Linked DNA regions of Oryctolagus cuniculus. The protein of the gene in region 1 binds, or shares a complex with, the protein of each later gene. Links are inferred from orthologs where the notes say so. Each region holds a gene or a part of one and is shown in the gene's direction. Other genes may lie near its edges.

Region 1 (4,440 bases):
TGGCTGTTGGGAAACAAATTGGTCATGTGGTCAACCTTGGCAGCAGAGAAACAGGACCCCTTTCTGAGTTCATTTATAGGGTGATGACCATTTTTAAGCACCTCTGACACAAGAACGGGCCTAATTACAGATTATAGATCATATGAATCTATTTATGGACTTCTCTTGAGGAAATGATTCAGGGTACAGGATATCACTTAAAAGTGTTTTGAATAAATGCAGTCATTGCTTTCAGTGTTATGACCTCATCACAGGCAACTTGCAGTAGAAGCCAGAGTGATAACCACTGTTGACAACATCTATCATTTATAATTTGCACCAAAATAAACATATTTTCAAAGCCACTTTTCCATGAATTCCTTGGGTAAATACTGATTTTTTTTTTTTTAAAGATTAATGTATTTGAAAGGCAGAACAACAGAGAGTGACAGGCAGATCTTCCAACACTGATTAACTCCCCAAACAGCTGCGACACTGAGGTCTGCACCAGGCTGAGGCCAGGAGGCAGGAAGTCCTTCCCGGGCTCCCATGTGGGTGGCAGGGGTCTACGTATTTGGGTCATCTTCCGCGTTTCAAGGCATATTGGCAGGATGCTGGATCAGAGTAGTTGGGATGTGAACCACCACTTTGATATGGGATCCAGGTGTGAAAGGTGGCAGCTTAACCAGCTGTGCCACAACACCAGCCCCAAATCCTGATAATTCGGAGCGGATTGCTCAAGGCAAAGGCTCTGGTTTGACTTATGCGTTACTTCATTGTCGCCACAGTCCAAGTAGCCCATCACGGTAGTACCATTATTATCCCCATTTCCCAGAAGAGATGGAGATACAGGTTAAGTAACTTGAGGAGTAACCAGCAGTAATTAAAGGGCAGCTTCACAATAGGTAAGCGCTGGCCACGCTGCTGCTGTAGGTTCTCAGAACAGGAACGGAGAGCGGCAGAGCGCGAGCCAGGCGATGGTTTTCGTTTTATTCTTGTTTCGCTTCCAGCACCTCCTGTCGCAGTCCGAGATCCTTTGCTGTGACAGACAGCTCACAGGTGTGCGGGAAGGAGCCCGTGTGGGCTCGCCTTTGCTCTCTCTGCTGCGAACGAGTCACTTAGTTCCACGGGGCCTTTTTCGCCACTTTGAAACAGCTACAACGTTCTCTCAGGTTCAGGTGCCGGTGAGCGGCATCTGAGCGACAGTCACACAATAAACGCCGCCAGAACGCGTCGCCCTCGGGTTAGACTCCAGAGCCTGCCTGCCGAAAGAGGACTTCCTAACTTCGAATTTCGGCACAGACAGGCTGCGTCCATCTTCTTTAGCACCGCCTCCCACCTGAGTCCCGGCCTCCGCCCCGCCCCAGCCACCTTCCCGTTGTCATGGAGATCCCGACGCCCGAGCCGGCTTGTTCAGCTCCCGCGGTTACTCTCGCGGGGTACGCGATGACGCATGCGCGTTCTCGGCAGCGAAGGCGCCGCGGTGGCTGCCGGGACTGATCCTAGCTGCCTTATCAGGAAGTGGCGGGCGGGGCGGAGCCGCCGCCGCCGCCGCCGCCAGTGGCGAGACCCCTGAGCTGGCGGGTCGGCGCTGGGCGTGCGCGCAGGCTGGCGAGGGCGCTGACGAGGAGCGGGAAGCCACGGCAGCGCCGGCGGGGACGGCTGGCCGAGGCGGAGGCGCAGGGAGTCGGCGGCGGGTCGCGTGGGGCTGCCCTCTTCTCTCTGGTAAGGGCTGCGACCGCCAGGTGAGGGGCGCGAGCCCTGGCCTGTTGTTCTTCGCCCCGCGACGCGGCTCTCCTCGCAGGTCCTCACTTTTCGTGGGGCTGGGTCTCGGGACCCTTCGGACACGCTAACAGCTCCGTGGGCGCTCTGTCTTTGAGGCCTGGGGCTCACGGGACAAACTTTTGGGTTGAAAAGAGGGGGAAATCGGCAGTGGGGTCGCGCGCGGGTTGAGCCCCTCGTGGGCCGAGCGAACCGCACGTGTGCGGCTCGGGGCGCCACGGCGTCCTGCCCGCCGAGGCTGTGATTGAGTTGCTCACACCCGGACCGGCTTTCCAGCTGCCTCGGGGAGCCCGCGCTCGTGGTCTGTAATTACAGGAGTTTCCGGAGAACTCTGCAGGCGTCTGCCCCGGCAGGACGCCGGGGTCCCCCTTGGGCGCACCTCTGCGCCGTCGGTCAGCCGGGCACCCCTGGGGCTGAGGCCGGGAAAGCCGCGAAAGGCTGGAAGAGGGCGAGTCGTGGGGTGTGGGTCTGTCTCCCGGTTTCCATCTGCGGAAACACTCAGCGGTCTGTGTCGTGCTGCTGTGTTTGTAAATGTAAATCGGGCATAGTGTCGCGTCCTGTTGGCTACAGAGGTCAGTTCAGAAATGTCGAAGTCGGTACAGGCAGGTAAAGCTAGGCGGAGCGTCGGGTGGTGAAAGATCTTCATCTGCGGGCATTCCAGCGCTCAACTTGTAGGAGTCAGGGTATTCGGATCCTGGTTTATTGGCGTGTGTCAATCTCACCCTACCGCCTTAGTTTTGGATTTCACATATTAAACTAGTAACAACTGGGTCATCTGTTGTCTCCCAGAGTTATGAGGATCTGGAACTGTTAACCATTTAGGCTTTGCTAGACTGTTGGGCTTTATTTAAAATATGTTAAAGTCCTCTTTAAAAGCCTAGATTATCTACCTGTCATTACAAAGTGAGATAAACCGTTAGAAAGGTTTCCTGTTTCAGAAATTCACCACCTGGGGCCTGTGCTGTGGCTCAGCTGGGGCTGCCTGCAGTGCCGGTATACCATATGGGTGCCAGTTCGGTTTCCAGTCGCTCCACTTCCGATTCAGCTCCTTGCTAATGGCCTGGAAAAGCAGTGGGAGATGGCCCAAGTGCCTGGGCCCCAGCACCCATGTGGGAGACCTGGAAGAAGCTCCTGGCTTAGGCTGAGCCCAGTCACAGCTGTTGCTGTTTCCTCTTCTGTCTCTCTAATTCTGACTTTCAAATAAATAAACCTCCTTTTAAATTTTTTTTATTTGACAGAGAGAGGCAGAGAGAAAGGTCTTTCTTCCGTTGGTTCACCCCCCAAATGGCTGCTACGGCCGGCGATGTGCTGATCCAAAGGCAGGAACCAGGTGCCTCCTTCCTGGTCTCCCATGGGGTGCAGGGCCCAAGCACTTGGGCCATCCTCCACTGCACTCCCGGGCCACAGCACAGAGCTGGACTGGAAGAGGGGCTACCGGGACTAGGACTCGGCGCCCTTATGGGATGCTGGCACCGCAGGCGGAGGATTAACCAAGTGAGCCATGGCGCCAGCCCCTAAATAAATCAATCTTAAAAAAAAAAAAAGTTCACAACCTGCTTGTTGTCCCCATCTTCTCAGTTATGAATCTCACTTTCTTGTTGCTGTCCTCATACCATCCCACCTCCCAAAACTGCCTTCCTCACACCACAAGAATCATTCTTTTCTCTTCAGATCTTTAAATAGTGATACCAAAATAACTTATTTATATGGCTTTAAAAAATCAGTTTTGGCACTGGGATTGTGGCATAACAAATTAAGCTGTCACCTGTGATGCCGACATCCCATGTGGGTGCCAATCCAGCTCACTGCTAATGTGTCTGGGAAAGCAGAGGAAGATGACCTGAGTGCTTGGGCCCTTCCACCCTCGTGGGAGAGCGGGATGAGGTTCCTGGCTCTTGGCTTTGGCCTGCCCCATACCTGGCATTTGGGGAGTGAACTAGCAGATGAAAGATCTGTCCCTCTCTGTCACTTTGTCTTTAAAATATTTAAAAAACCAGTGTCACTTTCTTCTTACTGCTGGACTAGATGTAGACAGCATTGGTAGTGTCCTTATTTTACTTAGGAAGTTGGATCTAGAGAGGTTTTATGGATTGCCTGGCTGTGTGACTGTTAGGAATCAAAACTCAGAGAAGGTAGATGTTTGCGTTGTGGTACAGTGACTGTTCTTACTGAAGTTCACTCTGATTAGTCCTTATCAGTGCGGTGTATTTCTAATTCTTAGCACTTCAGTTCACATTTCATTCATTTTTAAAAGATTTATTTAAAGTCTGATTTAGAGGGAGAGACAGATCTTCATCTGCTGGTTCATTCCCCAAGTGGCTGCAATGGCCAGGGCTGAGACAGCCTAGAGCCAGGAACAACTTCTGGGTCTCCCATGTGGGTGACAGGGGTCCAGACACTTGGGCCGTCTTTCACTGCTTTCCCAGGCCATTAACCAGGGAGCTGGATCACAAGTGGAGAAGCCAGGACTTGAGCTGGCACCCATTTGGGATGCCGCCTTGCAGGTGGTGGCTTTACCCACCAGCCCCTGTTCATTGTTTTTAGAGCAAAGTGCTCGAGACTTCATCTTAAATCTGAGCTGCTGGAAGGCAAGGATTTCTCTTCCAGAATCTTTCAAGGCTTAGTGCCCAGTGCCTTACATACAGAAAACATTTAATAAGGCTGGTGGAGCCAGTGAGG
Region 2 (3,807 bases), on another chromosome or scaffold:
CCAAACGCTTGCCCCTGAAGGATTCTTCTCAGCTTACATTTGTGCCTCTGACAGAGTTTGAAACAGCTGAGACACTTCTAAATTCCGAGGTGCATATGCTTCTGGAGCATCGCAAGCAGCAGAACGAGAGTGCAGAGGATGAACAGGAACTCTCGGAGGTCTTCATGAAGACTTTGACCTACACAGCCCGTTTCAGTCGTTTCAAAAACAGAGAGACCATTGCCAGTGTCCGCAGGTGAGTGCTAAAAGAAAGTCTGTTAGTCCAACTTGTTGGACATCTACATGTGTAACATTGTTCACTCTTGCTTTTCCCAACATCATCTGTGAAGGTTTTTGTTTTTTTTTTTTTTTTTTTTTTTTTTAAGATTGATTTATTTAGGGGCCGGTGCTGTGCTGTAGCAGGTAAAGCCTCCACCTGCAGTGCTAACATCAATACTGGTGCCGGTTTCAGTTCCAGCTGCTTCACTTCCCATCCAGCTCTCTGCTAATGTGCCTGGGAAGGCAGTGGAAGATGGCCCAAATGCTTGGGCTCCTGCACCCATGTGGGAGACCCAGAAGAAGCTGCTGGCTCCTGGCTTCCAATTGGCCCAGTTCAGGATGTTGTAGCCATTTGGGGAGTGGACCAGAGGATGGAAGATTCTCTCTCTTTCTCTCTGCCTTTGCCTCTCCCTCTCTGTAACTCCACCTTTCAAATAAGATTTATTTTGTAACTAGAAAGGTGGAGTTACAGAGAGGGAGGGAGGGAGGGAGGGAGGGAGAGAGAGAGAGAGAGGTCTTCCATCTGCTGGTTGAGAGAGAGAGAGAGAGAGAGGTCTTCCATCTGCTGGTTTACTCCCCAAATGGCTGCAACGGCCAGGAATGGGCAAGATTGAAGCCAGGAGCTAGGAACTTTATCTGGGTCTCCCATATGGGTACTGGCGCCCAAACACTTGGGCCTTCTTCCGCTGCCTTCCCAGGCACATAAGCAGAGAGCTGAGTGAGAAATGGAGCAGCCAGGACTCAGAGCAGCATCTGTATGGGATGCTGGGCATTGCACGTGGTGGCTTGTGCTGCTATGCCATGACTCCAACCCCCGTGTGAATTTAATATAAGTAAAGTAACATCATTGTCAAAAAATTTTAATTGTTTATAAGGCCAAAATTATCTTGAGCCACCATCTTTTATACCTAAATCACAGTTTGATAGAATTTAAAGATTTTTAATTAAGCAGATTTACTTATTTTGTGCCTAAAACATCATAGAGATCTTTGCATGGTAATAAATGTAGATCCAGAACATTCTTTCTGGGAGACACAGTGAGGTGCTTGGGCTTAAAGGAGGCTATAGGAAAAACAGCTAGGCCAAATGCCTCCTCCACCCTGGTTTTTTTCTTATCAGAAAGCTGAAGATCATTTCTGAAACTAAATTTACCACAGATGAGCTCTATTTTAAGAGGCAGAGGTGGGGCAACTGCTGTGGCACAGCGGGTAAAGCTGCCGCTTGGGACACCTGCATCCCATATGGGCACCAGTTGGAGTCCCAGGTGCTCCACTTCGGTCCTGCTCTCTGCTAATGCTCTTGAGAAAGCAGTGGAGGATGGCCTTATTTCTTGGGTCCTTGCACCCACGTGGGAAGTTCCTGGAAGAAGTTCCTGGCTCCTGGGTTTGGATCTGCCCAGCTCCAGTGTTATGACCATTTGGGGAGTGAACCAGCAGATGGAAGATCTGTCTCTCAGTAACTCTGCCTTTCAAATAAATAAGTTTTTAAAAGAAAAAAAAAAGAGAAAAGAGGTAGAGTGATGAACATTCAAGACAGTATTTGTGCTGACAGTGTTCCAAACAGGACTTGTATGTTTACTGATTTATTTATTTACTTATTTGAAAGGCAGAGTTACAGAGAGACAGAGGCAGAGAGAGAGAGAGAGAGAGAGAGAGGTCTTCCATCCACTGGTTCACTCCCCAGATGGCTGCAATGGCCAGAGCTGGTCCAATCTGAAGCCAGGAGCCAGGAGTCTCTTCCTGGGTCTCCCATGGGGGTGCAGGGGCCCAGGGACTTGGGCCATCTTCCACTACTCTCCCAGGCCATAGCAGAGAGCTGAATCAGAAGTGGAGCAGCTGGAACTAGAATCAGTGCCTATATGGGATGCTGGCACTGCAGGTGGTGGCTTTTCCTGCTATACCACAGCACCGGCCTCTGTATGTTTAATTAAGATATGTTTCATACACCAGTATGCACAAAATAGGGTAGTCTGTATTCCTATTTAGATAAATTTTAAAGAGAATTTCCTCCCTGTCAAAATACCTATTAAATCGGGAACAGCTAACATTATGTGCTTAATGTAAAATTAAGAGGGGTGGGCGTTTGACCTATCAGTTAAGACGTTAGTTGGGATACTTGCCTTCCATATTGGAGTTCAGTCCCACTTTTTTTTTTTTTTTTTTTTTAAGATTTATTCATTTATTTGAAAGGCAGAGTTACATAGAGGCAGAGAGAGAGGTCTTCCATCTGCTGGTTCACTCTTCAAATGGTCGCAATGGCCAGAGCTGGGTTGATCAGGAGCCAGGAGCCTCCTCCAGGTCTCCCATGCAGGTGCAGAAACCCAAGGACCGGGCCATCTTCCACCACATTCCCAGGCCATAGCAGTGAGCTAAGCTAGATCCAAAGTGGAGCAGCCAGGACTCCCAACTGGCATCCATATAGGATACTGGCACTGTAGGCAGCAACCTCGCACTCTGTGCCACAGCACCAGCCCCCAGTCCCACTTTTAATTCCAGCTTCCTGCTAGTGTGCCCTCTGCAGAGCAGCAGGTCATGGCCCTAGTAGTTGATTTCTGTTACCATGTCACCACTGAGTTCCCAGCTCCCACCTTCCTTCTGGCTGTTGCATGTGAGGAGTGTACCACTGGACAGGAGTTCAATGCCTCTCTTTGTCTGGCTCTCAAATAAGTTAATTTCTTCAAAAAAATTTTTTTGAGATTGATTTATTAAAAGGGCAGAGAGGAAGAGACAGAAATTTTCCATTCACTGGTTCACCTCTCAAATGCCAACAATAGACAAGTCTGGGCCAAGCTTAACGCCAGGAGCCAGGAACCCTGGTCTCCTACCTGAGTTACAGGGACCTGAGTATTTGTACCATCTTCCACTGCCTTCCCAGGCATGTTAGCAGGAAGCTAGATCAGAAACAGAGCACCTAGGACTTAACCCAGTACTCCTTATGAGATGCCTGTGTCACAAGTGGTGGCTTAACCCACCGTGTCACAACGCTGGCCCCTCCCGATAAATAATTTTTTAAAAATTAGTAATATAAGAGTCAAAGAGGTATAGTAGAAAGAATAGTAACAAGAAAATAAATTTCTGGGCAAAAAGTGGTATCGTCTGAGGTATGAAGTAGTTTTTCACAGGTTGTGGCAGGTGCTCCTCTACCTGGTGTGTCTCCTCTCTTTCATCTCTGCCTAAGTTCACTGCAGCTTCCTGTTCTTTAGAGGCAGAAACAGGAAGTAATTTGAAAGTAGAATTCTGCAGCCCACATAACCGTAAAGAGAAGGTTGCAGATGCTTCACGTTTTCTCTTTGCTCCCCACAGTTTTTCTTGTTGATCATTCTTTGATTGGGTTGTTTTGTTTGGATTTTCCTCTCTATGACCAGCTTGCTGCTCCAGAAGAAGCTTCATAAGTTTGAGTTGGCCTGTTTAGCCAACCTTTGTCCAGAGACTGCCGAGGAGTCAAAGGCCCTGATCCCAAGGTTAGTACAGCTGTGAGAAGTTCTATGTGTATTGGATAAATTCCTGCAAACAGAATTGCTGTGTCTAGATGATGTATGCATTTAAACTT

What was found.
Region 2: GTF2E2 (region 1) and POLR2D share a complex: the UniProt entries of both Homo sapiens proteins name them as parts of the TBP-based Pol II pre-initiation complex. The link is inferred for Oryctolagus cuniculus from reciprocal best matches to the Homo sapiens genes GTF2E2 and POLR2D.

The regions. Positions count from the first base shown.
Region 1 is NC_091433.1:80,687,252-80,691,691, reverse strand, and holds the start of GTF2E2 (transcription initiation factor IIE subunit beta), read left to right. Parts: upstream 1-1,481; 5' UTR 1,482-1,704; intron 1,705-4,440. UniProt on the Homo sapiens protein: Recruits TFIIH to the initiation complex and stimulates the RNA polymerase II C-terminal domain kinase and DNA-dependent ATPase activities of TFIIH. Both TFIIH and TFIIE are required for promoter clearance by RNA polymerase.
Region 2 is NC_091434.1:121,259,024-121,262,830, forward strand, and holds part of POLR2D (DNA-directed RNA polymerase II subunit RPB4), read left to right. Parts: intron 1-54; coding exon 55-235; intron 236-3,622; coding exon 3,623-3,718; intron 3,719-3,807. UniProt on the Homo sapiens protein: Core component of RNA polymerase II (Pol II), a DNA-dependent RNA polymerase which synthesizes mRNA precursors and many functional non-coding RNAs using the four ribonucleoside triphosphates as substrates.